Nothobranchius furzeri: one gene and its partners. The protein of the gene in region 6 binds, or shares a complex with, the protein of the main gene of each other region. Links are inferred from orthologs where the notes say so. Each region holds a gene or a part of one and is shown on either strand. Other genes may lie near its edges. The genes, in order: polr1b, ercc3, gtf2a1, taf1a, ubtf, polr2f and polr1h.

The links.
Region 1: polr2f (region 6) and polr1b share a complex: the UniProt entries of both Homo sapiens proteins name them as parts of the pol I pre-initiation complex. The link is inferred for Nothobranchius furzeri from reciprocal best matches to the Homo sapiens genes POLR2F and POLR1B.
Region 2: polr2f (region 6) and ercc3 share a complex: the UniProt entries of both Homo sapiens proteins name them as parts of the TBP-based Pol II pre-initiation complex. The link is inferred for Nothobranchius furzeri from reciprocal best matches to the Homo sapiens genes POLR2F and ERCC3.
Region 3: polr2f (region 6) and gtf2a1 share a complex: the UniProt entries of both Homo sapiens proteins name them as parts of the TBP-based Pol II pre-initiation complex. The link is inferred for Nothobranchius furzeri from reciprocal best matches to the Homo sapiens genes POLR2F and GTF2A1.
Region 4: polr2f (region 6) and taf1a share a complex: the UniProt entries of both Homo sapiens proteins name them as parts of the pol I pre-initiation complex. The link is inferred for Nothobranchius furzeri from reciprocal best matches to the Homo sapiens genes POLR2F and TAF1A.
Region 5: polr2f (region 6) and ubtf share a complex: the UniProt entries of both Homo sapiens proteins name them as parts of the pol I pre-initiation complex. The link is inferred for Nothobranchius furzeri from reciprocal best matches to the Homo sapiens genes POLR2F and UBTF.
Region 7: polr2f (region 6) and polr1h share a complex: the UniProt entries of both Homo sapiens proteins name them as parts of the pol I pre-initiation complex. The link is inferred for Nothobranchius furzeri from reciprocal best matches to the Homo sapiens genes POLR2F and POLR1H.

What each region holds. Positions count from the first base shown.
Region 1 is NC_091752.1:7,757,473-7,761,660, forward strand, and holds the start of polr1b (DNA-directed RNA polymerase I subunit RPA2), read left to right. Parts: upstream 1-1,388; 5' UTR 1,389-1,459; coding exon 1,460-1,636; intron 1,637-2,397; coding exon 2,398-2,565; intron 2,566-3,786; coding exon 3,787-3,933; intron 3,934-3,998; coding exon 3,999-4,131; intron 4,132-4,188. UniProt on the Homo sapiens protein: Catalytic core component of RNA polymerase I (Pol I), a DNA-dependent RNA polymerase which synthesizes ribosomal RNA precursors using the four ribonucleoside triphosphates as substrates.
Region 2 is NC_091749.1:40,321,580-40,325,640, reverse strand, and holds the start of ercc3 (general transcription and DNA repair factor IIH helicase/translocase subunit XPB), read left to right. Parts: upstream 1-1,261; 5' UTR 1,262-1,404; coding exon 1,405-1,432; intron 1,433-1,612; coding exon 1,613-1,809; intron 1,810-1,893; coding exon 1,894-2,130; intron 2,131-2,209; coding exon 2,210-2,259; intron 2,260-2,337; coding exon 2,338-2,473; intron 2,474-3,963; coding exon 3,964-4,061. Other genes in the region: gpalpp1 (GPALPP motifs-containing protein 1), read right to left, coding at 1-50, 156-405, 511-576, 652-763, 865-949. UniProt on the Homo sapiens protein: ATP-dependent 3'-5' DNA helicase/translocase. Binds dsDNA rather than ssDNA, unzipping it in a translocase rather than classical helicase activity. Component of the general transcription and DNA repair factor IIH (TFIIH) core complex.
Region 3 is NC_091742.1:19,637,728-19,641,879, reverse strand, and holds the start of gtf2a1 (transcription initiation factor IIA subunit 1), read right to left. Parts: upstream 2,801-4,152; 5' UTR 1,823-2,800; coding exon 1,793-1,822; intron 1,327-1,792; exon of another isoform or gene 1,211-1,326; intron 554-1,210; exon of another isoform or gene 426-553; intron 1-425. Other genes in the region: N-acetyl-D-glucosamine kinase, read left to right, coding at 3,213-3,383, 3,453-3,540, 3,613-3,710, 3,791-3,869, 3,950-4,149. UniProt on the Homo sapiens protein: TFIIA is a component of the transcription machinery of RNA polymerase II and plays an important role in transcriptional activation. TFIIA in a complex with TBP mediates transcriptional activity.
Region 4 is NC_091742.1:8,334,908-8,338,971, reverse strand, and holds the start of taf1a (TATA box-binding protein-associated factor RNA polymerase I subunit A), read left to right. Parts: upstream 1-1,264; 5' UTR 1,265-1,426; intron 1,427-1,538; exon of another isoform or gene 1,539-1,957; intron 1,958-4,029; 5' UTR 4,030-4,064. UniProt on the Homo sapiens protein: Component of the transcription factor SL1/TIF-IB complex, which is involved in the assembly of the PIC (pre-initiation complex) during RNA polymerase I-dependent transcription.
Region 5 is NC_091745.1:10,210,542-10,214,542, forward strand, and holds the start of ubtf (nucleolar transcription factor 1), read left to right. Parts: upstream 1-1,201; 5' UTR 1,202-1,339; intron 1,340-1,834; exon of another isoform or gene 1,835-1,991; intron 1,992-3,473; 5' UTR 3,474-3,495; coding exon 3,496-3,532; intron 3,533-3,703; coding exon 3,704-3,876; intron 3,877-4,001. UniProt on the Homo sapiens protein: Recognizes the ribosomal RNA gene promoter and activates transcription mediated by RNA polymerase I (Pol I) through cooperative interactions with the transcription factor SL1/TIF-IB complex.
Region 6 is NC_091752.1:66,414,096-66,417,972, reverse strand, and holds polr2f (DNA-directed RNA polymerases I, II, and III subunit RPABC2), read left to right. Parts: upstream 1-1,352; 5' UTR 1,353-1,488; coding exon 1,489-1,508; intron 1,509-1,764; coding exon 1,765-1,834; intron 1,835-1,922; coding exon 1,923-2,053; intron 2,054-2,851; coding exon 2,852-2,923; intron 2,924-3,017; coding exon 3,018-3,108; 3' UTR 3,109-3,377; downstream 3,378-3,877. UniProt on the Homo sapiens protein: DNA-dependent RNA polymerase catalyzes the transcription of DNA into RNA using the four ribonucleoside triphosphates as substrates.
Region 7 is NC_091751.1:25,535,633-25,539,752, forward strand, and holds the start of polr1h (DNA-directed RNA polymerase I subunit RPA12), read left to right. Parts: upstream 1-1,320; 5' UTR 1,321-1,424; intron 1,425-1,994; 5' UTR 1,995-2,017; coding exon 2,018-2,135; intron 2,136-4,120. UniProt on the Homo sapiens protein: Core component of RNA polymerase I (Pol I), a DNA-dependent RNA polymerase which synthesizes ribosomal RNA precursors using the four ribonucleoside triphosphates as substrates. Can mediate Pol I proofreading of the nascent RNA transcript.

The DNA of each region.
Region 1 (4,188 bases), about 59 Mb from region 6:
TGACATGCTCTTAAATGCTGAGAGATAATCATTTCCAGGTAAATTAATTTTGTTTAGCCTACAAGCTGCAGGATTTACATGTTAAAAAAACATTTGCTTCAGTACCCATGTAATAGCTTACTGGAACATCGTTGTCAATTACCTAAACGAGAAAGGTTAGGATCTTGTCAGCCACATATAGGATAAACAAAGTGAATTTAAATGATTTTTTTTAAAACCAATTCAAATTTTTTTGCAACGTTTTGAGAAAAATACTGATATAAGTGGCTCTCTGTGTGATGAACTCCCTGAAGATAAGTTTTGTCTTTTAGTTGGGCCCTATATCCCTCATTTTCTTTAGAACATACATCGTTTCACTCACCATCCACCTGGGATAGCCAGTCTATGGGGATAGCTTATATAGCCAATTGGCATATTCAAAATTGTTTTGATAATGAGGTAAAACAATATAAAACGACATAGGCACATAGCAACTCGTTTTTTACAAACCTTTACTTAAAATCAGAACATTACAAAAATTACAAATAACATCAAAAAGAACACACATTTTACAACTCACAGTATCAGGGGGTTCATAATACGACCAGCCAGCAGAGATACACCACTGGGTGTCGCTGTCGGATGACGTCAACAGCTAACAGGCTAAAAGCCCAATAAGTACAGGAAGCTCTCGCCGGGTGCGGTGGCGCGTGCCTGTAATCCAAGCTACTGGGAGGTTTAGGCTGGCGGATCGTTTGAGCTCAGGAGTTCTGAGCTGCAGTGGACTATGTCGATCGGGTGTCCGCACTAAGTTCGGTATCGATATGGTGCTTCTGGGGAAGCCCGGGACCACCAGGTCGTCTAAGGAGGGGTGCACCGGCCCAGGTCGGAAACGGAGCAGGTCAAAGCCCCCGTGCCGCTCAGTAGTGGGATCGCGCCTGTGAATAGACACTGTAGTGCAGCCTGAGTAATACAGCGGGACTCAGTCTTTTACAAGCTTTTGTGTTAGATAGGTTATTTTACTCGCTTTCCAGATGCTGCTTTTGCACATTTTACTGCAGTTTAAGCGTTGATTCTCCCCCGCTTCTCTATTGAAAACTGCAGCTGTGTGGCTGTGACACACCGCCCCCTTCTGGAAAATACGCGACCACCAATCACATCAGCTACCCTCACAGTAGAAGTGAGCGTTGCTTCTCAACAATTACACATAAAAACAGACTTTGTTATGAGATCAACTGATGTGCTTTATGAACATGAGCAAAGAAAAAGTGAATGAAAACAGTCCCATGAGCAGCGTGACGTCAAGTGCAAAGGGAAACTGGTGTAACGCATCGTTGTCTCCACAAGAGGGCGCTAACAAATCACTCGAGAACAACAACAAAAAAAAAAAAAGCAACGACAGATCTACTTCCTGTTTCAGTGATGTACTTCCTGTTTCGTGATGTCCATGTGGTAAACAAGCGTCCCGGGTTACACCAACATGGACTTTTCAGCTAAGTGGAGTAATGTACCGACAGGACCGAGTCTAAAGAACCTGACCGATGGAGAATTCGGTAAACTGAAAGAGACGCAACACGCCGCCGTTCAGGACCTGACTAAAGCCCACATCGAGTCGTTTGATCAGGCTGTCACTGATGGACTCAACCGCCTTGTGCAGGTCAGTGAGAAAGTCAGGTTTACAATTATTTTTTCACTTTAATAATTTAAAACATCATAAATACTCCAGCAGGGATATGAGAAATGACTAAATACTACTCCTGGTTAATTTCCTCCTCTCGTTGCCCTCTTTGACTTTAACATGTTTAATCCACGTGTGTCAGATCTGGTAGACATATATCATACATGTGTCTCTAACGGCAATAAAAAACCTTTATTTAAAACGGAAACAATGAACAGTTAATTACGAAATAAAATGTAGTAAATAAATGTAATCGCTAATTTGGACCAGTTACTTTTTATGAATGAAATGTTTTCATTTCAAACTTTTCAAATTAAAAGCATGACTTCTGACCACCTGAATGAATATCTGTATTACAGTGAAAACACATAAAAAATTAGATGCAGCCCCCTTGAGTGTTCAGAAAAAAACAAAAGGATATGAAGTGTGTGTGGGGGTGGGGGGGTACACGGAGTCAATTTAGAACATAAAATTCGAGACTACAGGCTGAAATCGTATTGCACAGAAAAGTAAAATGACAAAATTGGCCAATAACATGTTTTAAAATTTAAAATTTATCATTTCTACTTCATATATCAGAAAAGGGTCAAACCTTTACTCAGCAGTAGAGCAGAAGCTTCACTAACTATTAAAGGCTGTAGATGAGGTTATTATTATTGTTATTATTTTCCTTTGGGGTCATGTTGATTTTTGGGATCGTCTGGTTGCTTTTTGGACAGTTTTTGTTTGATGTTTTCCAGGCGATTCCTCCGATAGAGTTCATGTGCAGAAATGAAAAGTTGAGCCTCACGTTCGTTGATGCAACCATCCAGAACCCGCTGGTCGCCAAAGGCAGCATCTGCACAGAGATGAAGGTGTTTCCAGCAGAATGCAGAGGAAGGAGGAGTACTTACCGAGGAAAAGTGGTGGTAAGCTAGGCTAACTCTCTCACCTCCCTGTTGGAATGAAGAAGAAAATTTCATTTCTATAGCGCCTCTCAAGATAAAAATCACGAGGCGCTTCACAAAAACAAAAAATGTAAAAATATAAAAAAGCATTTAGAAAATGTTTAAAAATACATTTAAAATGAGCAAAAATAGGCAATTGTGATTAAAAAAAATTTAATAAAGAGAGAGAGTTAATAGGAAAGAGGGAAATCAGTGGCTGGAGGAGAAGGGGGGTGATGTGGGTGTGTTTGGAGGACTTGGTCAGAAGCCGAGCACAGGCACTCTGAACCACCTGTAGATGGTTCAGGGAGGTTCTGGTCAGACACGTGAAAAGAGAGTTACAGTAGTCTAAGCGTGAGGAGATGAAGGTGTGGAGAACTGTCTCAAGTTCAGAGCGGGACAGAATGGGACTCAGTTTAGCAATGTTCCTGAGATGGAAGAAGGAAGAGCCAACAAGAGAACTGACATGAGAATCCAGGGTGAGAGCTGGGTCAAAGGTCACGCCAAGATTCCTGACAGAAGTTTTGGTGTGGGAAGCAAGCTGACCAAGAGAGTCTCTGACTTTGGGAACCAGCTTGTCTGGGGCACAGATGAGGATCTCAGTCTTATCTTCATTCAGCTGAAGAAAACTCCCAGCCATCCAGGTTTTGATAGAGTCTAAGCAGGTGTGTAACAGCTGCAGCTTAGACATCTCATGGGGCTTAAAGGAGATGTACAGTTGGATGTCATCTGCATAAAGATGGTAGGAGATTCCTTTGAAGGAGCTCAGGATGTGCTGAAGAGGAAGCAGATAGAGGAGGAAGAGCAGAGGCCCCAGCACAGAACCTTGTGGGACACCATGGGTAAGAGAGGTGGTGGAGGACCTAAACTTGGAGACGGCCACAGAAAAGAAACGCTCAGAAAGAAAAGAGGAGTACCACTCCAGAGCAGTTCCTGATAGGCCTACCCAGTCTCTCAGCCTCTCCAGTAGCAGGTGATGGTCAACAGTGTCAAAGGCTGCAGTCAGGTCCAGCAGGACCAGAACAGAACCGTCCCCTGCATCACTGTGAGTCAGAAGGTCATTAGAGACCCTAAGAAGAGCTGTTTCAGTAGAATGAGCTCTACGAAAACCTGACTGGAAGCTATCATAGATGTTCTGTTCATCAAGAGCAGCTGTGAGGTAGCAGGTTTTGTAGTGAGGCGTGTGACGATGTGTCATCTCAGGCAGACGTCAGCTGGTCCATCAACGGCTTTCCCAAAGGCATCATTAAGCAGTCCCTGGGCCAGGTGCCGATCATGGTGAAGTCAAAGCTGTGTAACCTCTACGGCATGTCCCCCAAGGAGCTCGTAAAGCATCACGAAGAAGCAGAGGTGAGCCGAGCTGACGCGACTCCTCCTGTTATTGGATGTCGTCTAAACGCTGGTTAATTGAACAGGAAATGGGAGGTTACTTCATCGTGAACGGAATCGAGAAGGTGATCCGGATGCTGATAATGCCGAGGAGGAACTATCCCATCGCCATGTCGAGACCCAAGTGGAAGAGCAGGGGTCAGGGCTACACCCAGTTTGGTGAGTAGACACTGAGAGGAGCTTCAGCTCGTTGTTCTGTGCTGATTCCTTTCTTTC
Region 2 (4,061 bases), on a different chromosome or scaffold from region 6:
GGTGGGAGCTCTGTCATCCACGTTTCTCTAGTTACCACCTCTGGAACATCCTAATTACGCAGAGGACAAACAAGAACACATTAAGACACAAAGAAGAAACAGCCCCCTTTTATAATTTAATTATTATGAGGAGAAAAATGTTAGAGAAAAATTACCACTCTTGTTAGCTTATCTTTCATCCTTCGTGCCCTGCACTCAAAATCATGAGCAACAGAATCTTGAATCGGTCCTTTAGCAGGCATGGGTCCAATCACGTCCTCCTCCTCTCCCTCGCTGCTGGAGGGTTCGGGACAGTAGCCCCGAGGAAGGGCAGGTCCTGGAACAATTTCTTCCTCATCATCATCATCACTGTCATATTCAGTCCTGCAGAACCCAGGAGGCAGAGCTGGCCCCAACACAGGTGCCCTGAGAAAATACCATCACAAACAAATGTCACACTGTTATCCTAAACAGGAAGTGTCCTTACACGTGCTATTTATGTTACTAGAGAATATTGATGTTTCTGCTCACCTTTCTGGTGAATGTTGCTTTTTATATCCTGGAGGCAGAGCTGGTCCAAAGAACCCATCATCATCCCTGTTCAGAAACACATGTTAGTCAAGTTCGTTCTATTTCTTTTAACTAACAAATGAGACCAGAACCAGAACTCACTCTGCAGCTCTCCCAGTCTTGGCTCGCTTAGCTGCCACCTCTGGTTCACTTTCATCTGAGGAGCTAGACTGTTCACCCCGTTTATACCCAGGAGGTAAAGCAGGACCAGCAACTAGACGGCGACATAAATAAAACTGTTAGCTAAAAGTGAACAGAGCAACCCGAAAAGATCAATTGCCACAACACGTTAGCTTCTAACAAAACGTATCTTACAATCTTTTTCGTCAACGTCGTCCTCAGAGCTCTCATTTCCAAATATCGGAGGCAAAGCAGGTCCTATAATTTTATCAGAGGACATCTTTGCTAACAATTTCGTTACGTATTTTCAGGGGATATTAAACAAAACCTGTATTTACTCTATGGCTTTTAACCTAGGAAGTAAACAATAGAGCAGCAGCGGAAGTCTTCAAAGTGTTCTGCCAAAACAAATGCACCTGCTATTGTGATTTATTTTTAATTAAGATTTTAATAAACACATTTTTGAATAAGTAGTTTTAAAGCTTCGTAAATTGTATTAAACTATCGTAAATATAAGTAATAATCAACTGTACACTGTCTCTGTGGCAAAAACGGAAATATAAAAACTTTTATTTTGAAAGTTTTTGAACGGAAACGCTTGTTATTCAGAGCTCCACTTTAGTGCACAGTCTAGACATCGTTTATTCCTTCATATCATTTAAAGACACGTATTGTGTGTTTACCTAAATACATTTGGGACTATTTTTAAGACTTTACCCATGTAAACCTTTCAAAATGGGTAAAAAAGATAAAGGAGATCGAGGTAAGTTGGTAACGTTTCATTTTAATCTGCGTGGAGCTAGTCACCGAACGCTAACCTGCAATATACTAGCGCAAATACGTCTGAGCAAAATGTAGTTTTGATTCCATGGCATCTTAACATAACTACTGATTTTTAAAATGTTTTAGTAATGTTAATGATTGTTTTGTGGATCTGCTATAGAGAAGAAGTTCAAAAGACGCTACTATGAGGAAGATGACGATGAAGAGGTGACAGTCGGGGAGTCTCAGGAAGCTGTACCTGCTGCTGCAGGGAAGCAGGTGGATGAATCTGGCACAAAACTGGATGAATATGGAGCCAAAGACTACCGCGCACAGATGCAGTTGAAGAATGACCACAACTCCCGTCCTCTCTGGGTGGTATGATGCGTCATTGCTGCTTATAGTCACAGCTGTACCTCAGTAATCTCTTAGAGGTGAAATCTTGTTCTCACTTCTCTACAGGCTCCAGATGGACACATCTTTCTGGAAGCGTTCTCACCAGTATATAAGTATGCCCAGGATTTCTTAGTGGCTATTGCAGAGCCAGTGTGCAGGCCTAACCACATCCATGAGTACAAGCTGACTGCATACTCCTTATATGCAGCAGTCAGTGTGGGGCTGCAGACCACTGATATTATAGAGTACCTGCAGAAGCTCAGTAAAACATCTGTACCTGATGGAATCATCAAGTTCATTGAGGTCAGAGATAGACAGGATGTGATCCTATAGTAACAGTTTATTTTTTTGCTCATCTGTTGTATTTTTCTGCCTCTTTCAGCTTTGCACTGTGAGCTATGGGAAAGTTAAGCTTGTGCTCAAACACAATAGGTAAAGGTCTTTCGTCTCTCTCTGCAAAAACATTTATTTCTTCAGCGGTTTTATTCACTTGTGTTTTCCCTCTTCTAGGTATTTTGTAGAGAGCACCTTCCCTGATGTGATTCAGCGTCTCCTGCAGGATAACGTGATCCGTGAATGTCGTCTTCGCTCTGCAGATGGAGCAGACCCTGAGCTTATTACTGAAGTTGTCCACAGCAAATCAGCAGTATGTCATACTCCTTAAGGATCTGGATGTTGTGGGGATTTGTTGGTTGACGCAGCTCTGTAATATCTCGTGGACTTCGGGAGCAGTTCCACTGGATTCACAGACTGGGGTGGTGGTCCCCCTGTTTAAAAAGGGGGACCGCAGGGCGTTTTCCAACTACAGGGTGATCACACTCATGAGCCTCCCTGGTAAGGTCTATTTCAGGGGTTCTGGAAAGGAGGGTCCGGTGGATTGTCGAACCTCAGATTCAGGATAAGCAATGTGGTTTTTGTCCTGGCCGTGGAACACTGGACCAGTTCTTTAGGGAGGTTCTGGAGGGTGCGCAGGAATTCGCCCAACCAGTCTACCAAACCAGTGCTTTGTGAATGTGAATTTGGTGAAGGCTTTTGATTTTGTCCCTCAGGGGGCCCTGTGGGGGGTACTTTGGGAGTATGGGTACCAGGCCTTGTGATACAGGCTGTCAGGTCCCTGTATGACTGGTGTCAGAGCTTGGTCCACATTGCAGACAGAGATGGGCCATTCCCATCTGTACCGGGTTGGCCCGGGCCGGGTAGCGTAGGTTGTTTACATATCTGGGTGGCCTGGTATTTTTCCGGGCCAACCAAGGCTCATTCTCAGCCCTCTTCTCGAGGGGGTCTGCTTCAGGCCGACCAGGGCCAACACACCCACTGCTGACAGCAAATTCACACCTTCCATTAGAGCAAGCCTCTGATTGGTGGGTAGAATCAGCCCACATGGGCTTAAGACAAGGATGTTTGAAATCAACCGGGCCAGGCTGGGACCAACTGGGGCTACCCGGCCCGGGCCGACCCGATACAGATGGGAATAGCCCATAAGTTTGATCGTTTCCGGTGAGAGTTGGGCACCACCAAGGCTGCCCTTTGTCAGCGATTCTGCTCATAACTTTTATGAACAGGATTTGTAGGTGTAGCCAAGGTTATAAGGGAATCCATTTTGGTGTTCTAAGGATCAGATATCTGCTTTTTGCAGTTGATGTTGTCCTGTTGGCTTCATCAGAACGTGATCTCCAGCTCCTGGATGCCTCCCTGGTGAGGTTTTCCGGGCATGTCCAACTAGGAGGAGACCTGAAGGAAGACCCAGGACATGCTTGAGGGACTATGTCTCTCAGTTTGCCAGGGAATGCCATGGGATTCCCCTGGAGGAGCTGGCCCAAGTGGCTGGGGAGAGGGAAGTCTGAACCTCCCTGCTTAGGCTGCTGCCTCCGTGACATGACCCTGGATACGCAAAAGAAAATGGATGGATGATATTTGAATTTACAGGGGTTTGCAGAAGTTCAAAATAGAACTGAATGAAAATGTCACTGTGTTGAATGTTTTATTCTAGAGATGTATTTAGGAAATAATTAGTGTATAAAATGAAACATTTGGTAGATTTTTGGGAAACGTCTCCCATTTTCTTAAACTAAACCCCCGTTACGTAAAAAGTGTAAAATATTTATTTTTCCTATTACATTTCTCTTTTTTGGCCAGATTTCTAAGTTTGTTCAAGAAAAAGGAGACCCATCCACCTCACAGCAGCCTGTTGATGGACAGACCTCAAACCAGCAGGTCCCTGAGGACATCTTCAG
Region 3 (4,152 bases), on a different chromosome or scaffold from region 6:
AAGCCACTTTTAGGCATGACACGATTCGTCATTTGCGGAAGTCCTACACAATACATTTAAAGGCACACCTGTAACGACACTAATGAACTATCATACACTAAACTAATATCCCTGCCATCAATAATAAAACAAAAGCCAGCAAAAATAATGTGACACAGGTTTTATTTTGAAATATACCAGACGCACTTGTCACTTCCTGTCCGGCTCATGACATCTTTAACTTCATGAGGATGAAATTTGTGTCAATGTTACCTTCTTTCCAACATGATTATTTGACTGTAAAATCCCTTAATATTGTACCTTTAAAGTACTTTAAAACCGGACACACACACACACACACACACACACACACACACACACACACACACACACACACACACACACACACACACACACACTTACTTATTTTTACATATTTGCATTACCGGTCTGATCTTGGAGAGGTTGTACTGAAACTACATTTCATCGCACCAAGACGCTGGTTCAATGACAAATAAAGCAATCCTGTCCTAAGGGCACTGAACTAATACTTGGCTCTTCTATAAATTTTGTGGCCCCTTGATGGGCCCCGTACCCTGAAAAATCTCAGATACGCCCCTGGCATAAATCAAGATTAATGTTTCACAGCTCCATTATAATCCAAACTGTGCTTCAGCATCCGGATCTTATCCACAACCGCGTCTGTCAACATAAACAATTACATAGATGTCCGCCGGGACTGCGTTACTAGCTCAACCGTAGCGTTCAAGTCTGCGGAGACTTTCCAGCCAAGATACCGCCCTGCCTCGATGTCCGCGGTGGACACCTCGGTGCGTCCTTCCCTCCCCCTCGGACAGTCGGTTCCTCCACAAATTAAAGCTCAGTGAAGTGTTTATATGCGGGCCGGTGACGTAGCGTCGTGTAGCACCGTCCCATCCCAGCAGTCTATATTAGACAGCCAATATGGCGGTATAAAGCCAGCCACCGGCAGGGAGGAGGGCCAGAACCGAGCGAGACGGGAGAGGTGGAAGCCATTTTACGGAGCGGCCCCGCTCACAGAGCCGTTTTCTTTCAGCGAAATGAGGCCAAATAAAGAAAGAGGCTCTCGTTTTATGCGTTTAATTGCCAGTTTTGACTCGGTGGCTTTGTTTTGGGAGCAGGACATCGGAGATATCATGGGTCAAAAATGGGTTTCGGGACGCTTTTCTGCGCCTCTGGTCCTGGAATGGTGGACCACGACGAGGCAGCGCCGCGGACTGCGTCCAAGACTTTGCGCTAAAATGGCTTTTTAATATCAGATCCTCTAGTTGAATTTACTTGGAAGTGGATGTTGACGATGTGCTTTGGGTACGTCTGTTGATTAGATGTGCGGTTTCCAATATTTAAGCTCAAATACGTCAGCTGGCTAACAAATTCGTCCAATAATCCACCCTGGGCTAAATGAACGGCACTAAGATCAAACACTGACTCCAAATGATAAACCAAGACTCGTAACAGCCACTGATAAATCACACTAGCGCTAAACAAAGTCTCAACCTGAAGTAATTACAAATTTTCACTTTAACCAGCATTATTTAATGTAAAATCATTCAAAACTTGCCTCGGCAGAAGCTTCTTCAGTGCCATGTTTTCATTTGAATATCTAGTTTCGAATTATGGCTTATTCAAAGTTAGTATTTCCTTTATAATTTCACTCAGGAGTGATGAGCTAGTTCAAGCATATTCATCTGAAAAAAACCCATCTCCTCCACATCCTCTAGACAACTTTACCCCCGTTTCCCCCGACTGGCAGTCCGTTGAGATTGATCCTTACCACTGGGTTCGAGTTAGCCGAGCTCGCCATTATACGCGTAGTGTAAAAACCACACGGAAATAGGCGAGAGACAGAGCCAAAAATGACCAAAAAAAGACTTAAAACAACTGGGAAAGATCGTTTAGAACAGCCGGCATCACTTTTGTAAATAAAACACAGTTTTCACGGTCTTATTTACAGTCCCGGGCTGCGACTCCCCAGCCGTCTTCCTCTCGCCGCTGTCCTGCTTTATATACTGAGCGAAGGAGCTGCGAGTGCGCGAGACATAGGGCAGGTTCAGACAGAAAATCTCGCGAGATTTTTGCGGAATTTGATGACTAATCAGGGTGGCTGCTTCTGGGAAATGTAGTTTTAAAGCGGAAAGCCTGACATTAAAGTTTACCAGGCTTTTTAATGCAGCGTGCTCTGCATTATTATTGGTTCAGTTAGTTTAACGCTAAAGAATACGATTTCACTGCCAGGAGGAGTATTTGATAATTTGATATTGAGTTATATAGAAATAATTAATGCTTTTAAATGTGAGAATATTTTGTTAAATTGATAAAATATGAATCTTTAATTGGATAATACAGTATAGATTTGTTTAGGGTATTTCTATTTTAAATATCATTATTATTATTATTATTATTATTATTATTATTTTCTCCAAGCCTTTTTACTAATAAAAATGTTATTATCCAATTATCCACCGAGTAGAATGAAACGCTTTAAGCGCTTGAGCAGTTCTTCGCCCAACAGAAAAGGAAAATCCTCAATGTCAGACACAAACACTGGGTGTCTCGCAGACATGCCACCCACCGAAACTCCAAGGAAAGCTACAGACGACAAGGCCATTGGATCTGGAGTTAAAGGATTGAGATCCACGGCGCAGGGTCTGAGCGTTAAGACACGACCCTGTTCAGCTGCACGCAGCCAAGCAGACACTCTCCCAGAGAGAACGGGACATGATGGTGAGGTCCGAACCAGAGTCCAGGATAGCCCCACAGCCAAGCGATCCCACAAGGTTCACTGGGATGTGAGGTTTCTCCTTGGGAGCTTTACGGATGATATCACAGAAAAACTTAAGTGGAGGTTTGTCTGGTAAGTAAGGATTACCTGACCTGCTAACAGGTGCATTGGATGCTCGAGGTTTAGAGCTAACGGAAGCAACCTCACCAAACCTCACAGTTGCCACAGGACACACCGTTGGGGCATGTTTCAGTTTTGGAGGACTCGTCGTTGCGACTGAGTCATGTGCAGGTTCAACAGGTGCAGGAGGATGTGCACTCTGTTCTGCAGAAGAGAGGAGAAGAACTCTGTTAGTCTTTGATGGGTCTTCATCCAAGACATGAAGGGCATATTTTAACGCTTCGCGCATGGTCGCAGGAGGCCTGCAACCGGACTCAGCTCTTGACCTTGAAGCAGCAGGGCTGTGGTCAGCATGGTCGCAGCACGGCACAGTGGTTACCACAGTGATCTTAATCATATCTCTTCTTCAGCTTTCTGGATCGCTCGTTTGGCCGTGAAGACGGTGTTTGACGCTCAAGACAACTTGGTGGCGCCTCCTTATGACATCACATGGGTTACAGAAGCCATGGAGGAGAACTTCCAGGTCAGACAGCAGCAACACAAAGACAAATCTGTTCTTTTAAACCCAGAATAATTAAAACATTACTCCCAGGTGTTGGATCTGATGGGAATGCTTCCTCACCTCTGCAGGAACTTCCAGAAGTCCCACTTTGCTGGCTTCTGTAAGAAGCTGGCTGAAGGTGAGCAGCAGCAGGACTTCTGCTCAGGTTTCTAGGACAATAGAGTGTCATCCTGAGTGTTTTGTGTCCCAGGTGCGGAGGCTGGGGATGCTCTCAGCCAGCATGTGTTCGCTCAGGTTGGCAGAGTTCTGGCTAAACATGTAGAGTCAGTTTTACCTGCAGCTCAACCGGTGACCACACCTACAAGCCTTCTGGTTTCACTTTTGCATGTATGAAACTGGAGCATTTCTCTTCTGTTTTGTTGTTTAAGGCGTTATTAAGGTGTGAGCGCGGCCTGCCAGTCCTGTGTGTGGGCTCCGTGTGGAAGAGCTGGTCTCTCCTGAAGCCGGGTCTGTGTCGCTGATGGTAATAACGGTCCATGAAACCCTCTGGATGAAGTCTCATCTGCATGTTTTATGTGTTTCTGCAGGGTTCACAGAGGTTCTGGAAAAAGCCGCATCATCAGACAAGTTGAAGGACCGTTTCCATGGCTACAGCCTCCTGACTTTACAGCAGTCCTCTGCTTTGGGCGGAGCTAGCCTTGGGGTTCAGAGTTTAGGTTCCTCCATCCGTATGGATTACTCCACCAATGCTGATGTCTTCTATCAGCACACCTTCAACAGCGGATAGTGA
Region 4 (4,064 bases), on a different chromosome or scaffold from region 6:
TCCAAGTGATACTTTGTGTCATATTTTACACTTTAACAAAACGTTGTTTGATATTTAATACAGAAATACTCATCCAAGGTGCAGCTAAGTATTGGTCTTTGGGTGCTGCCATAATTTTTTGTGCTTTTATTTATGTGACAGTGTTTTATTGAGGCTTTGTTTGATTTGCATTTGTTCTCATGAACTGTATCCGTATCTGTTTTTCTAAGGTGGTTCTCCCCACACACCAGGATTTGTTGGCTTTTATCCACACTTTGGTTATTTCCCTGAGTGCCAATGTGATTTTTTATTTACAGATTATTACAGATTAGTTTTCTCCCTCCAAAGGCAGGAGTTGGAGTCTTTCCAGTTTTTGGTCACACTTAATGATGCCCACATTAGCAAAAAATGACAACATTTAGACATAAATCATGAACTAATGGCCCCTTCCAAACTGGTTGATAAGCATAAAAATGTTTCTTGAAACTAAGGAGGCAAATAATGGACGGAACTCTTCTGTTTCAAGTAATCATATTTATATGTTTGACATGGAAGTAATATGCATTATTATAAAAGTAAAAAATAGTTGTTAATCGTGGTACAACTTCTTTTTATTTATTTATTTATATATTTATACATTTATTTATTATTATTATTTTTTACCTTTGTCAGTGGATAAAGTTAAAAGCACCACCAAAATAAAAAGCCAAAATGTCAACTTTTTTACTGTTGTATCTTTTTGTCATTTTCACAGGATTGAGAATCGATTGTTTAACAAGTAATTAAAGCACATCCTACTACATAAAAGCTTGTTACTCTGCATATTTTTGTTTGAACTTTCTATGATAGACCAATTGCTTGATTTAAATAGTTTTGTAAGATCATCTTTGTAGATTATTTCTCATGTTTATTAGGCCATTTTGGAACCACTATTTTTCCATTTTGGGGCGTTTTAGTCCTCCTTATGGCAACTATTTCTAGTGATTTCTTTTAAAAAGCTCGGAACATGTTTAGTCTGGCTTACCTCCCTCTTCCTCACCAACTTCTTTTTATGCTAGTGTTTATGTATTTTTCGGCCTCCAGTGTTGTTCAGTTTTATTCCTATGTTTAATCTTGAATTTTTATTATTATCTTTTTAATCAAATGTTTAGCGCTTGCAAAGCGTGTTGTGACTTTTATTTAGAAAAGCCCCAATGTAATATCAGCTCCGCCTTTTCCGGTGTAGTTAACCAATAGCATTGCAGCTTTCTCCCCAGCTTCCTTTAGCCGTACTTAAAACGTGGGTTTTACAAATAAGTCATATGAATATGTATCTCGGTTGTATACACTGATATTATAACACACTTTAAGATATTTTCCGGCATTTGTAGCTCACTTGAATTAGCTTATATAATTTGTAGATTATTCAGCAATCCTTAGAAACACCTAACTTTACTCCTGAGAGGAGGTAAGCTAACAAAGGTTTGTTTACATGTGATCCTGCTAGAGGATGGTTGATTTTTTAAAATCCTGATTGGCTCTTTTTGGATAACAAATAATTTCAATAATTTTGGAAAGTTTTACTTTAGTAAAAGAGGGGTAGATTCCCAGTCTTTCATTGACAGCTATGCTAAGAACGCTAACTAGCTTGTGTGTTAGCAGCACTCTTGAGCAGGTGTCACCAACACAGAGGGCTACCATCCTGCACATGTTAGCTGTTTCTTTGCTCCTACACACCTGATTGAAATGAACGAGTAAATAAAAGGTCTATGCAGAGTTAAGGAGATGATTAAATTACTTCATTCAGGTGTGGTAGAGCAGGAAACAGCTATTTTTGAGAAAGTTGATGATAGGTTTGGAAAATCTCTATTTGCAGATGACGGTGCCATCTGGAGAAGTGGGAGGAATTTTAAGCATTTGTTTTCTCAGACACCGAAAGCTTTAGATCAAATTGTGCAGTGGGCAAATAACGGAGGATTCAAGTTATCTATAGTAAAAAGTAAATTTATGATCTTTGGCTTAAAAAGGAAAATCCCATCTATGAATATTCATATTTATGGCTCTGTGATTGAAAAGGTTTAAGTTTTTGGGTTTGTGGTTTGATGAGAAATTAATCTGGAAAACACATAGAAAGATTAGTAAGCAAATGTGAAAAGGTAATTAATGTCATGAGGAGTTAATCAGGTAGCAGCTGGGGAGCGGAGAGAAGTACTTTACAGTTAATCTATAGGGCTATGATTAGGCCTGTTTTGGATTATGGATGTGTGGTTTTTGGGAAAGCTTCTAAATCTGTGTTGTGTAAATTGGATTATGTGCAGTTTATGGCCCTAAGAATCTGTTGCAGAGCATTTAGATCTACTTCAGTTCCAGCATTGCTGGTTGAAACGGGTGAGTACCCTTTGACAATGAGGAGGGGAAAACTAGGAGTTCATTATTGGCCGGGTTTAGTGGCAGCTTGGCGTATAAATGTCTCATAGATGATTGTCGGGAGTCCAGTGAAGATCAGGATAAGGACAGTTTCCTAAATCATATTGTAAAACTAGTAAATCTCCTAGGACTACAAAAGGAAATGGTGGTGGGGTTAGTGTGGTCTCCAATACCGTTTTGGAAATTACCTGAGCCAGAAGTTGTTTTGGATTTACTAGGATTAGAAAAAGCGGTTGCCATTAAACTGTTAGAAATGTATTTAAGTGTTCAAAGATGCTATCCAAATTTATACTGATGGATCTAAAGAAACTACATTTCATAGAGCTGGTTTTGGGGTTTATATTGTCGAGCTATAAGTTAGGTCAAGTGTTTGTGTGACAGATAAATTATCTGTTTTTTCTGTTGAGCTTTTGGCTATTTTGTAGGCAATGAAGTGGATAGTGGAGCATAAACCATCTCACACTATTGTCTGCTCTGATTCTGCTGCTGCACTGTTGACTCTAAGTAACGGGACATCTGAGGCATGGAATGACTTAGTTTTGGAGATTTTGTGTTGTCTAATGGGCCATTCCCATCTGTACCGGGTCGGCCCGGGCTGGGTTGCGTAGGTTGTTTACATATCTGGGTGGCCTGGTATTTTTCCGGGCTAACCAAGGCTCATTCTCAGCCCTCTTCTCGAGGGGGTCTGCTTCAGGCCGACCAGGGCCAACACACCCACTGCTGACAGCAAATTCACACCTTCCATTAGAGCAAGCCTCTGATTGGTGGGTAGAATCAGCCCACATGGGCTTAAGGCAAGGATGTGTGGAATCAACCGGGCCAGGCTGGGGCCGACCCGGTACAGATGGGAATGGCCCATTAAAGACGCTGAGAATGCGGGTTCTAGGGTGGTATTTGTCTGGGTCCCTGGACATACTGGAATTTTGGGAAATGAAATGGCAGATGCATTGGCCAAAGACTCCATCCTTAGAAATAGCATTGATCATCATCTTCCTCTGGGAAAAAGAGAATGTTAATAGTATGTGCATGCAGTAACTATTTAAAAAATTTGTGGCAGAAAGAATGGGAAGGGGAACGTAGAGGAAGACTTTATTTTCCTTGTCAGCCGTCAGCTCATACTAGTTGGCAACCCTTAACCTGTTGTCGTAGAGATGAAGAGGTGATTGCCAGAATGAGATTGGGGCACTGTGGTCTGGCGGCATGCTTATTTAGGATTGGTAAACATGTAGATGGGTTGTGTGAGTGTGGTAGTTCCAAAACTGTTGTTCATGTATTGTTGTCATAGCCTGGCAAGCCAGACTAAATAAATGTATTATTTAAGATAAGGATTAGCAAACTTTGCAACACAAGGATTTGGTCTAGTTCACTAGGCTATTGTTGTCATGCAGGAAATACAATAGTGAGAAGCGGCAACTTTTTTATGGGGCTGGTGGATTTGGGGATGGAATCTTTTTCCTTTTTTTTTTTCGATTAGTGCAAATTCCCAATGTGTATATAGCTTGATTGTTCAATTCCTTCATCACACTGGCATTTATTCGAGGATATAATGTAGCAGTAATATAACTGTGGTGGGCAGCATTGCACATTCCAGCGTATAGTCTGCTGGAAATTTATTATTATTATTATTATTATTATTATTATTAGAAGAAGAAGAAGAAGAGGAAGAAGAAGAAGAGGAA
Region 5 (4,001 bases), on a different chromosome or scaffold from region 6:
TGCCAAGAGTCTTAATGAGATAAATTATAGTAGGATTGTTCCTCAGAGAGAAATGTGTTCGTTATTCTTATATTATGTTTAAAATACTATTTAAAACATAAACGTTCTAAAAACATGATACGCAAGCATAATATTCTACATGGGAAAATTACTATTTTAGCTGCCTTTTTATCCTGCTAATAGGTTAAATAGTTGGTTTTATTTTTAAGTCTAGTATTGTCTAGTTTTATTCAGCCATATTCATGATTTCAATCTTCATCAAAGGCAAAACAAAAAAGTAATTAACAATTACACGTTAAATTCGATTTAATACTTTGTAACCACATACAGGAAACATGATATAAATTACTGTGAAAGATAAATACGAACAGGATAATTGAAATTTAAGGTAAACAAAAAAGATAACACAATTGAATTCTTCAAACTATATTATATAATTTTAATTGTAATTGTAGAAGTTTATTTAAACAGTGACAGTGCACAACTTGACATTAACCACAAAAGAAAGATGCAATGTACCAGGTTATAGTGGGGATGCTAATTTCCACCTGTAGTGCCTGGGAAGGTTGATATTAAAATCACTAAACTAAAACAAAAGACGACTGTTTTTGTCCAGTTAGCTAAATTCCTGACACTAATCCAATAATACTTTATTCCTACTGTAAGTGAACATAGCACAGTTTAACAAGACTGAGTGCCTGAAAGTCTTTGTTTTCCTTCAATCGGACGGACTGGATTGGACGGCCGGGGGTTCCGCCCACAAACACACAAGGTGGAGTTGAAAAAATAACATGCTGGGCTAAAATGAAGCTGTCAAACAGCCAGTTACGTTTGAGTCAAAGAGGTTTGGTGCCGGGGGAACGGCACGGACACCGGAAATAAGAGTTAGGAGAATAATCAGACACTGATTGGTGTCAATTATAAACTTTAAAGATGTGTGCGTTCAATGAAAAAAAGTTCACTGGTGGCGTTTAAATTAGGTAACCAGTAAAGCGATTTTTCTTTCAAGTGTAGGCAGACGAAATGTTAGAGATGCAAACTTCAGTGGGAGACGTGAAAGTCGGGCTCGATGAGAAACAATAAACTCTGCTGGCTGAGCTCAGAAAATCAGCGGCGTTAACACTGGGGAACATGGGGATGTGTCGGTGTAGCGGAAATGGTTGGATGGAGAGAAGAGAGCTGCTGCACGTTGACTGGAGGGAGACAGCGAGAGAGATGGAGGCGGGGGGAAGGACCATCTCTGCGGGGACTGGAGCCCAGGACCGACGGCGCAGTGCTGGCTATCGTTCAACCCTCCCCTTCTTCATCCACAGCGACGCGGAGGCTCGCGCCGAGACAGGTAAGCAGCACGAAAGTCGGTCGGTTTCATAACCACACGTGGAAAGAGCGCGATAAACAAACCAGAAAAGCGGTTAAAAGTCGAAAAATAGACATTCTGTTTTTAATGTTGTCTACCAAAGCTCCTTAGGCGGCAGGATCTTTGTGGTAACGAAACAAACTCCCCGCTGGAAGGGCGCAGACGAGGTCGGCCTTACCCGAATTTCTCTGCCCAAACAGCGGGGAAGAAGCTGGATGTAAGACCCAGTGGTATGATGTCTACTATAAATTACACCCAGTGAATTCATGAAGCGAATTAGTTTCACGTAGCATCGGGATTTAGCTAAGCAATCGTTTGTTTCGCGTGGGGAAATGTTTTCCGGTAGTTTCCGCGCCGAGACCTCCACGCGGCTGTTGGCGGAACAGCTAGCCGCCTCTCGGTCAGCCATCAGGGATCTCGGTTTAATATCTCACCGTGAGGAGACTCGCCCTCCCCTCTCCCCCTCTCTCTCTCACTGACTAGCCCAGAACCACCGACAACCGAGCTCGGAGAACCCGCCTTTCCGTCCTCGCTTATGCGCTTTTTGGAGCTAGGGAAGGGAGTCTGCAACGCCCCGGCTAGAGCTTTCGGCTCCGTTTTCAGTGTTCGCAGTACGCCATTGGACCTTGTCACGGTAGGTTTGCTTACAAGAGCGGGGCTGGTAGCATGGCGGACCTGGAGCCGTTTTGTCGCGCCAGAGAAGCTGCTCAGCCGCGGATTGTTCTTTAGATATCCGATAATGAAAGAGCCGATTAAAGCCCACATTTTCCTCGAAACGGAGAATAACTAACACTAACATGAAGTAATTCAAAATTAGGTCAATAATGTTGTTTCACCGTACATATATTTTTTATTTTAATTATGTTTCGCGCCTCCGCAAATAATTTAACCTAACATTTATTAATTTTCGATCTGGTGTAACTTAATTTAGAATATTTTGGAGCATTTTGTATGGTTGTCAAATAATTCATGTTAATTATACGTTGTAAACACAAGTTAATGTGATCCCTAAATCGTCCTTGTGTGACACAAATTTTGATTAGTAGCAAATACTGTTGACTAACTGTGCTACCTTAGATGCTGGTATGATTTTAGGCTTCTTTTCGACATGCTAAGTTACACGGCGTCTTATGTTTTTTTTTCCACATTTATGTAGTATTTTTGACTAAACGTCATAAATCCGACGTTTGAATTTGACATTCTGCGCATTTTACATAAGAAATATGTCGAAAGTAGTGTTAGAAACGACGCGAGGAGACACGGTTGAGCTATCAAGGACAAGATGAACAACGGTCATCCGCCATCATTGGAGCACAGCTCGGCTACGCCTCGCTGAAGAATGCTCTGGCTTTTTGGTCCAAAAAACAACTGCGTGATACCACAAAGCGAACAAAATGTTGAGTGAATTATTCTAAAACGCACACATAAACCCCCTCACGCGTAGAATGCTAGTTTAGTCGTTCTTGTTTTGGGTAAACATTAGTGGAGAAGACTTTAGGGCTGCGTGGCGGAGCTAGATCCACGTCCAACGGTGATGAGGCGTCTCCGCCGAGTGGCGCATTTGGCTGCAGTGCTTCCAAGCTGCCATTCCAGGCTGTCGGAGACCGAAAGCAGATCCCCCGTCCGTGGTCAGCTGGTCGCCTACAGCTGCCTGTCTGTCCACGTTCATTCGCTTCCTCCTTCCGTGGATCCTCCCCAACCTCCGCTCCGACAGAAAGTCCTCCATTACCGAGCAGACCGAGCGAGAAAATGGTCGCTCCTGAGCGTCCACGATACTTCTGTTGTAGAATAAGGACAGCACTAATTCGCCAAATTCCGGTTGGCCCAAAAATAAAAAATAAAAAAAAATAAAAAAGAAGCTCGACAGGGACTCCTGTTGTCGTCGCTAGATATGCTTAGTTGAAGCCCTCCGCAGTGTTATTTGAGATTTGAAGCCGTCACAAGCAATAGCCTATGCCTCACCATGCAGCGTAAACGTTTAGGGGCGGTGTAATGAACATAAACCATTATGTCGGCACACATTTCAACTCAAACGACTTACAACAGAGATCAGTTATAATAAAGTTAGAAAATATGAATTTTAGTGATTTTGATTAATTTATTGTTTCTTTTGTAGTTCAAAAATCGCATTTTCACAAATGAATGGAGAAATGGAGGCAGCGACACATGACCAAGGTAGTATATTTATGAGTCATTTTTATTTATATATATTTTTTTAACAAATGACAAATACTTGTATAATCACGAAATTGTTTTAATGAATTCCACATTTTGTCATCATACTATAAACATAATGCAACCATACTAATAAATCCATGAACCAGTTTACATGTATTTTTTTATCAGTGTGGTCGCAGGATGACCTCCTAAAGCTGCTGGAGGCCATGAAAGTGGCTCTGCCACAGAAAGATCTGACTAAATACAAAACATCCGAGTCCCATCTGGACTGGCAGAAGGTGGCCTTCAACTCCTACACTGCAGAGATGTGTAAACAGAAATGGCAAGAGGTCTCTAAAGAGGTGAGATGCTCAGATCATGATTTTTAGGTCGTAAACCTTTTCAGATGTAATATTTAGATTAAGTTCTTAAAGAGGTCCTCCAATGAGAAACAAGTTTGTCTTATTTTTGGAAATGATCTGTTACA
Region 6 (3,877 bases):
GATCCGATGCTGTGCTTGAAAAACAGATTAGTACCTGCACGGGGTAGATCGCTGCTTCTCTAATTCTTGCCACTTTTTACATTAATAATTTTATCATGAGTGTTTTATTACTTCCTATATTTGCGTATCTCTTAAATTTTTCTTTCTATCTTACCTTCTGCACCAAATACCGCAGCAATTTCCTAATGTTGTGACTTGGCACACATATGGCAATAAAACCTTCTGATTCTGATTCTAAAAAGCTGGTCCTTTGTATGTATGTATTTATTTATTTATTTATTTATTTATTTATTTATTTCACTTTGGTGGAAACCGGCCCTGTTAAATGAGGGAAATTGCAGTGTACCACAGTGACCATCAGGTGGCAGCCTTGTGGTGTGTCACCTTTTAAAATAGGCGCGTCATGAATGTTTGGGTGACGTTCTGACAGACACGTTAGCTCTACGTGAGATGATTTATGTTGTTTGTGCAGATAATAAGCTTAAGACCACGTTCGTTAGCCATGACATACAACCAAATAGAGGGCCAAAAGTACATAAAAAATTTATATCATTAATTGAATGTGTCATTAGTTGGTTGAAATATGAAATAATTATGTATATATGATTTTAATGAATGTGCTATAAATAAAAACATTTATTTGATGTAAAAATTACAGATAATCATTAAACTGTACAATTTTAGTAATTATTACATGGCGGAGCTGGCAGTGAAGTCGAAATGGTCCTCTCTCCAGGATCTCAGTCAGGTCCACCGGTAGAACCCCATGGAAATCCCTGGCCAGTAGACATGATGATTCCTCCAACATGTCCTGGATCGAGCTGGGGGCCTCCTACAGGCAAGACATGCCTGGAACACTTCTCCTGGGAAGCGACCGGAAGAATTCTCATTAATTCATCGCTGGATTCAGCCCCAGTCTTCTCTAGTCAATAAACAGGCCTTGGATTTGGAGGAGTCGGTGTGCATTTTAGGATTTAAAACAAAATAATTAAAAATTTTCATCCATGGCCCATTTAACAATTTATGTATGTAATGATTTATTCGTGAAATAATTTGGCATTAATTTGATTAATTGCACATATAAATAATATTTTTTTACGTGTCAAATTCCTTAAATCTTTAGCACTTGATTATAACAATTCATTAAAGAAAGTGAGGAGAGAGAGAGAATGGGGATTATTCAGCCTTTATTTAACCTACAGTTGGTAGAATTTACAGATCAAACTAAATGGAAAATGACTTAACTCCAGAAGGTGGCAGTGTTGCAACGGTAAACCTTGTTGATGCTTCTGAAACATCAAAAAAAAAAAAAAAAAAAAAAAAAGACAGACCGGAAAGGGAACTCTAACGAGGTTCTTTTGGCCGACCGGAATGTTTAGTAGCGTACCAGCCAGTGCAACGTTCATGTGGATTCGTGTTGGTTACAAAAGTGTAGCCTAGAAACGTTAAAATATTTTACACGGATATATACTACTCTAAAAATTTATCATGTCGGACAACGAAGACAAGTAAGTAAAGAAATCGTTTAAATAATCTGCGTCATTTTGTATAATCGACGTAAGCTAACGGGGATGCTAACTCGATTAGCATCACACGGTATTGTTTATTATGATCCTTGCCTATTCTGTGTATTGCTGCTTACGTCCTGTTTTATTCAGTCTCCCATCCAAGTTTACGTACTTTTGTACTTTTTCAATAAAGCTTGTTAAAAGTTATGAATCACCTAAAGTTTAAGATATCTGATCAAAGGTTTTAACTCCGTAGCTTCGATGATGGAGATTTTGATTATGCAGAGGAGGACGAAGGACTAGACGACCTGGAGAACGTCGAAGATGTGAGTTATTACAGAGACGGATCACCACTTGAGACTTTTATGAAGCTGTCTCCTGGTCTGAGCTTGTTTGTTTTGCTCTGGTGAATAGGAGGATCAGGAGAATGTGCAGATCCTACCTGCAGGAGAAGGCCAGCAGGCCAACCAGAAGAGGATCACCACACCGTATATGACGAAATACGAGCGGGCCAGAGTGCTAGGGACCAGAGCCTTGCAGATAGCGTGAGTGTGTTTACATGAGATCACGGTTAAAGCTGAGTGTGTTTGATCTTTAACTCGTTAAACACATTTTCACTGAGAGTAGGTTTCCTCCCTAAACTTAGTATTTAGAGATGTTCAGTGAAATTAGCTGGGCTCATTTCGGGATTTATGTCAGTAAAAGTTTCGTTTTTCCAAAAGACATTTAACCCTCCCATTGTCCTGATGGGTGTGACCCCGCGAGGAAAGTTGACCATTGAGCAGGGATGATGGTTTATCCCTTGGGTCCATGTGGCAGGGGTGAGAAGTGAGCACCACCTCACCCCTGCCATGTAGACATCAAGGGATAAACCATCCATCCTGCTCAGTGGTCAACTTTCCTGGCGGGGTCACCCATGAAGACAGTGGGAGGGTTAAGTAAAAACTTAAATATGCTAAATAGCGCATTAACACCTAGTATCAACAGAAGGTTATTTAGGTAAATCAGTAAAATCAACTCCTGATTCTGTTTTTGTCTTGAGTTTGGGCTCTCTGAATTCCCACCAGCAGAAATTCCTGGAAACAGGCGGCTGCTTGTGTAAATGCCTCATCTGCTTTCAAAATAAAAGCATGCCAAAGCCCATTTTAAAGCTAAAAGTAGCGTTTGAATCTACATGCAGAATTATTTGTATTTAATTTCCAATGCTGGCTGGATGGCTGCAACTAATGAGTCACTTTTTTCCCAGCTTTAGAGAAATTAGCCCACTATAAACCCCATATTCCCATGTTGCATCAGTCTGCCTGAATAAAAGTGTTTTTCCTGTGCTGGCTTGATTCCAACAGGATGTGTGCTCCTGTCATGGTGGAGCTGGAGGGAGAGACTGACCCTCTGCAGATCGCTATGAAAGAACTTAAGTAAGTCACTTTGACAAGCACCAACTTTTGGCTTTGGTTTTATTTAACGAACAACTTTTTACTTCACTCATCTTTTCTTCTCTTTCTCCAAAAGGGGCAGAAAGATCCCCATCATCATCCGCAGGTACCTTCCTGATGGGAGTTACGAGGACTGGGGCTGTGATGAGCTCATCATAACTGATTAAACATCCTAACCAGCATCACACATCATCATCTCTGGACTTTTAGAGACTCACTAACTTTTACAGAGTTGTACGTTTGCCTGCTGGGATCCGTTTATGAATATGTTGTTTTAATTTCTTTTCACCATTTTAACATCTACTTGAGGAGGAGAGACGAGAACCTTTAGTTAAATACTTTTTATGCATCCGTGAGGAGTCTAAACGGCTTGTTTTGTTTTTCGGAAGAGACGGTGTAAATGAATGTTTTATTGTTAATAAAGTCATTTCTAGAAGCTGCTGTGATGGATTTATGTACAAATCTCTGGTTTAAAACAGAAATGTGTTGCTGCGGTTGTTTCATTTAGAAAATTAAATGTCACCCCTTCTTTCCACAGGAGCCGTCAGCAGCGCGTCATAGCTGCTGATAGGAACCGCTGTGGTCAACAGAACCTTTTCCACCGGAGCCGTCAGCAGCGCGAGTCGGCCGCTTCTCAGGAGCAGCATGTCGCGGCCTTTACGCGCCGGTTCTATTTTCTACACGCGACGCCTCTGAAACGGGTCAAGTTCGACATTTTTGGGGAAGGAAAGACAGGAAATCGGACGCGGAAATGGAGAGAAGCTCCCGAGATTTTCAGAATAAAGAACGTACTGCCTTCCGGTTGCTTTACTTTTAAAAAAAGTTACTAACTGTGCGGCCCCGTGAGAAGTTATCACCTAGCTAGCGGTCTCCTTTGTTTTTCAGGTCCGTATTGGCGATTCTAAAATGGACAGAACATAAAACACAAACCTTTTG
Region 7 (4,120 bases), on a different chromosome or scaffold from region 6:
AATCTAAGGGTGGATCTGTTAGTCAGGAAGCACTGATGACTTCGAGTAAGTGTTCTGCAGGCAGGACTGGGATGATTTAAATCCAGAAATTTGTCACTGAGGCATGTGAGACATGATGGTAGAATTGATATGTTGTTAATAAAGTTGCTAAAACATTTTAATCTTCATGATAACATTTTGCAACACGACCTTCAGTCACAAAGCTTTATTCTAATGCTCCACTTTTTGTAATCTTTTTCTGGGATGTCTTGAAAACAACAAAGGAAGATGAAACAACCTTCTGTGATCCATCCACGTCTGCTGGTGAAGTTCCGTTTCCTCCCTGACACATTATATGGCAGGAATTGATGGACCATTTAATTACTGAATGTGTGATGTCTACATCATCAAAGAAAGATTAATACTTGCATTAGGGCTTATTGTTTGTCATTCTTTTACTGTGTTCAAATTATGAATTGTATTTTTGATTTTCATTAACATTTAAAAGGAGTCCACAAATAATATAATATGGAAACAATTCATTAAAATAAAACACCTATGGAAAAGTCAGACATCCGTTCAAATTTTCTACATACATGCACCAAACAAATGAATGATCATAGGTTTCAGCCTGATAAGAAAACACAGCATCACTGTCTCAGCTGGTCGGTTCCAGTTTCACTCCAATGTGAACTAAACTAAATCAGAAAATTTCAAAATTTGTGATTTTAAGAACATTTGGTTTGTGTGACATCTGTAACCACCGATGTGTAGATTATTCTAGTGGCCTTTTTTTTCTTCTTCTTTTTTTTTTTTTTTTGTAAAATAGATAAAAATAAACAGTTATGAGCAGTACTGTTTTTGACATGGGCGACCTGGGTAATGGCCCAGGATGGCATCATGAGAGGGGTGGCAAAATGGGTACGAAAAAAAAACTTATTTTGGGAGCGCAGTGCCTGAACATTATGCTGGTGTGTGTAACTTTTGGAAACATTTGTTCTGCTGCGTGCTGCAGAGGGAGGAGGACAGGTCTGCTGAAGCGGCTTGAGTGAAGCAGCATCTAAAAGTAAAGTGTGTTCGCCCAGGGCACCGAACAGGCTAGGACCACCCCTGGTCATTGTTGCCCCAAATCTCTGCACAGTAATTATGAGTTTAGTGTTGTTTATTATTTCCACGTATGCTTTACTTTGGTATTGAAATGCTTCTGGAGATGCTATATGATATTTCCACCTTATTTTATTGTTTGACACCATTTAATGGTATTTGCGAATTAATTTAATTATTCCCAAATAACATTTTGGTCATTAACTCATGTCACGTAAACAAGCGTGCGACACTAGCACGTCCTGCGTCATCAGCCTGCGACAATAACGTGATAGGACCATATACATAGCTGTGGATAGGACCCTAGGACCTCTACTGCAAACAAGTGACCGGTGAAAGAGGTTTGTAACGTTTTATACTGACTTAATAAATGATGACAGTAGCGCTGTTTTGAACTAAATGTGTAAAGAATAGCCGAATACTAATATAAACATGTAAAAGGTTTCCAAGTAGCTCCACGTGCTCAATGTGCTGCTGCTACTACTGCTAATAATAACAATAACATTCACTCGTTAGATTTCATCACACAGCCAGGAGGTCTTTTAAAGTGTTAATTTATAAAGTGCTAAGTCTTCATAACGGAAGTTACGGTGTAACTATGGTTCTGTGAGTTCCTGGATGACTGCCAGTCACAGGGGTCACTCGGAACTTCTCGGGCGAGAAGATCCCGGGAGACCCGAACGTAGCTATCGGCGCGTAATTTATAGACTCGCGACCAGGTGCGCTACGTGTCACGTGCGTGACTTTGTTTACATTAGTACTCGACCTGCGCAGAGCGCGAGGAGATACATCCACTCTGTTTACTGCCACTGGCAGTCAGGAGGGAACGAAACAGAACCCATGTGAACCGAACGGGAAACCAGTGGTTCATGGTTTTGATTGTTGTTTTCAACGTGTCTGTGTTTCTCAAGAGTCAGCAGCCCGGTTCGACGGGATGTCTTATTTTAGTGGTGACCCGAACTTCTGTCCTGAATGCGGGAACGTTCTTCCGGTACCAGTAACCTCCAACACTGTCCTGTGTCCTCGCTGCTCCTTCTGCATTCCTGTTTCAGGTAACGTGTCCCAGAGCCGTTTCTAGCTTTGTGAGGGCCTGATTCAAGAGGCTGTTTGGGAACCCGGGTGGAGGTGGTGATGATTCCTCAAAGTACCACAAGTGTAGTAAAAAGAAAAAAAAATCACTTCACAGTAAATGTATTTAACGTGATAGTGATGCACCGATATGAAATTTTTGGGCTAAAACAAATATACAATATTAATATCACCGTTATGGCCGAAAACCGATACCGATATACCGACATTAATGCTTCTAAAATCAGCAGATTTTGTGTAGGGCTTGTGATCACACGTGATTACGCATAGCATTCTGCAAACTGTGAAATAAACGGTACTGTCGCAGAGTAGAAGCAGATTTGGGTGAAAGAAAGTGTTAAATCACATAAAATCCCAACAAGGATGTGGAATATACAGGGACATGTTATATAAAGACGTCGGGGACCGGTATGTGGACAAAATCATCATTATAAATGGTTTTGATCCACATAAAAGACCCAAGACTGGAGCACTGGTGACATATTGTTGCAGCTGCAGTTCTGCATAACAGACTTTTTCGGCTATCTTGTTTAACGTCCAGATGAGAGGTAAACGTTTAATTTGTTGGTTTTTCTAGTAAAACAATCAAAATTGTCATCCCTCAGAAGAAGTGTAGCGAGAAAAGTTATGTTGTGTATCATTAGCTTACCGGTAGGTGAGTGTAGCCTCTGTGTACGTGTGTGTTTCGTGTGCATGTTGCGGTTGAGGGAAAGAAACGATGTATAAAAACGTACACCATCTGTAATTTACCAGAATGAAAATAATTTGGAAGGTGATGTTTGGTCGCCTTACAGCTGCGATCCAAGTGAGCTAACAAGACTTTATGCTAGATACTTGGTCTCTGTCGTTTTGCCACTAAACAGGAAAACTGTGGAAAGTTAGCTTGTTTTTCACCTTAATTCCACTGGCGATCACGTGTGTCACATGAATTAATAATACATAAAAAGTATCAGCTGTTGTGCTACAGCTACTATTTACCGTCTATGTGGTAGATTACTGTAAATACAGGCATGAACATGTAAGCACACAAACAAATACATATATCAGGTGCATCCTGCATGGAGTAGTGACCGTAGCGTTTAAGTGGCTGGCTGACTAATGACGTCATAATGTGTTATAAATCCCATCTACTGGTGGAATCGGTGGTCTACGGGAGTGCTCCTTCCTGCAGCGGGGGTATATCAGTTTCTGACTGAATGAGCTGCTCAGGTTGATGTGTGTTGTTCATGATGGATGTTAGCTTAGCTAGCATCCTCCTCTCGCCCACCACCGATTCCAGGGGGCATCCCAGTACAGAGCTAGTCCTCTGCACCAGTTTGCCAATTCTGTTCTGGTCCCTGTCTGTACATCCGCTTCCCCAACAGGCCACTGCATAGAAAAGGGCAGATGCAACCGACAAATCATAAAAAGTCCTTCACAGAGTTCTGCATACTCTGAAGGACCTCAGTTTCTCAGCAGGTGGAGTCAACTGCATTTGAGATGGGCAGATGAAGGACAGTCCTTGTGGTAACTCTGGGAGAGCTTAGTCTGACTGATTGTTGCCTTTCTCCTTTATTGTTTTTTCATTAAAAACAATACGCATCCAAGAAGAAGAAGAAGAAAAGATCTCTTCTATAGCGCCTCTCAAGATAAAAATCACGAGGCGCTTCACAAAAACAAAAAATGTAAAAATATAAAAAAGAATTTAGAAAATGATTAAAAATATATTTAAAATGAGCAAAAGATAGACAATTGTGATTAAAAATGTAAATAAAGAGAGAGATTGAATAGGAAAGAGGGAAATCCAACACAATTATCTTGAATTTTAGAAACACACACACTTAAAAAATACATATTTCAATCAGGGATTACAATTATTATTTTTTTTTTCAAAATTTATCGTTTTAGCTTTTTAGAACAGTTTAATTTGCTTGTTGCTGTCATAACAAAAACACCTACAAAAACTATT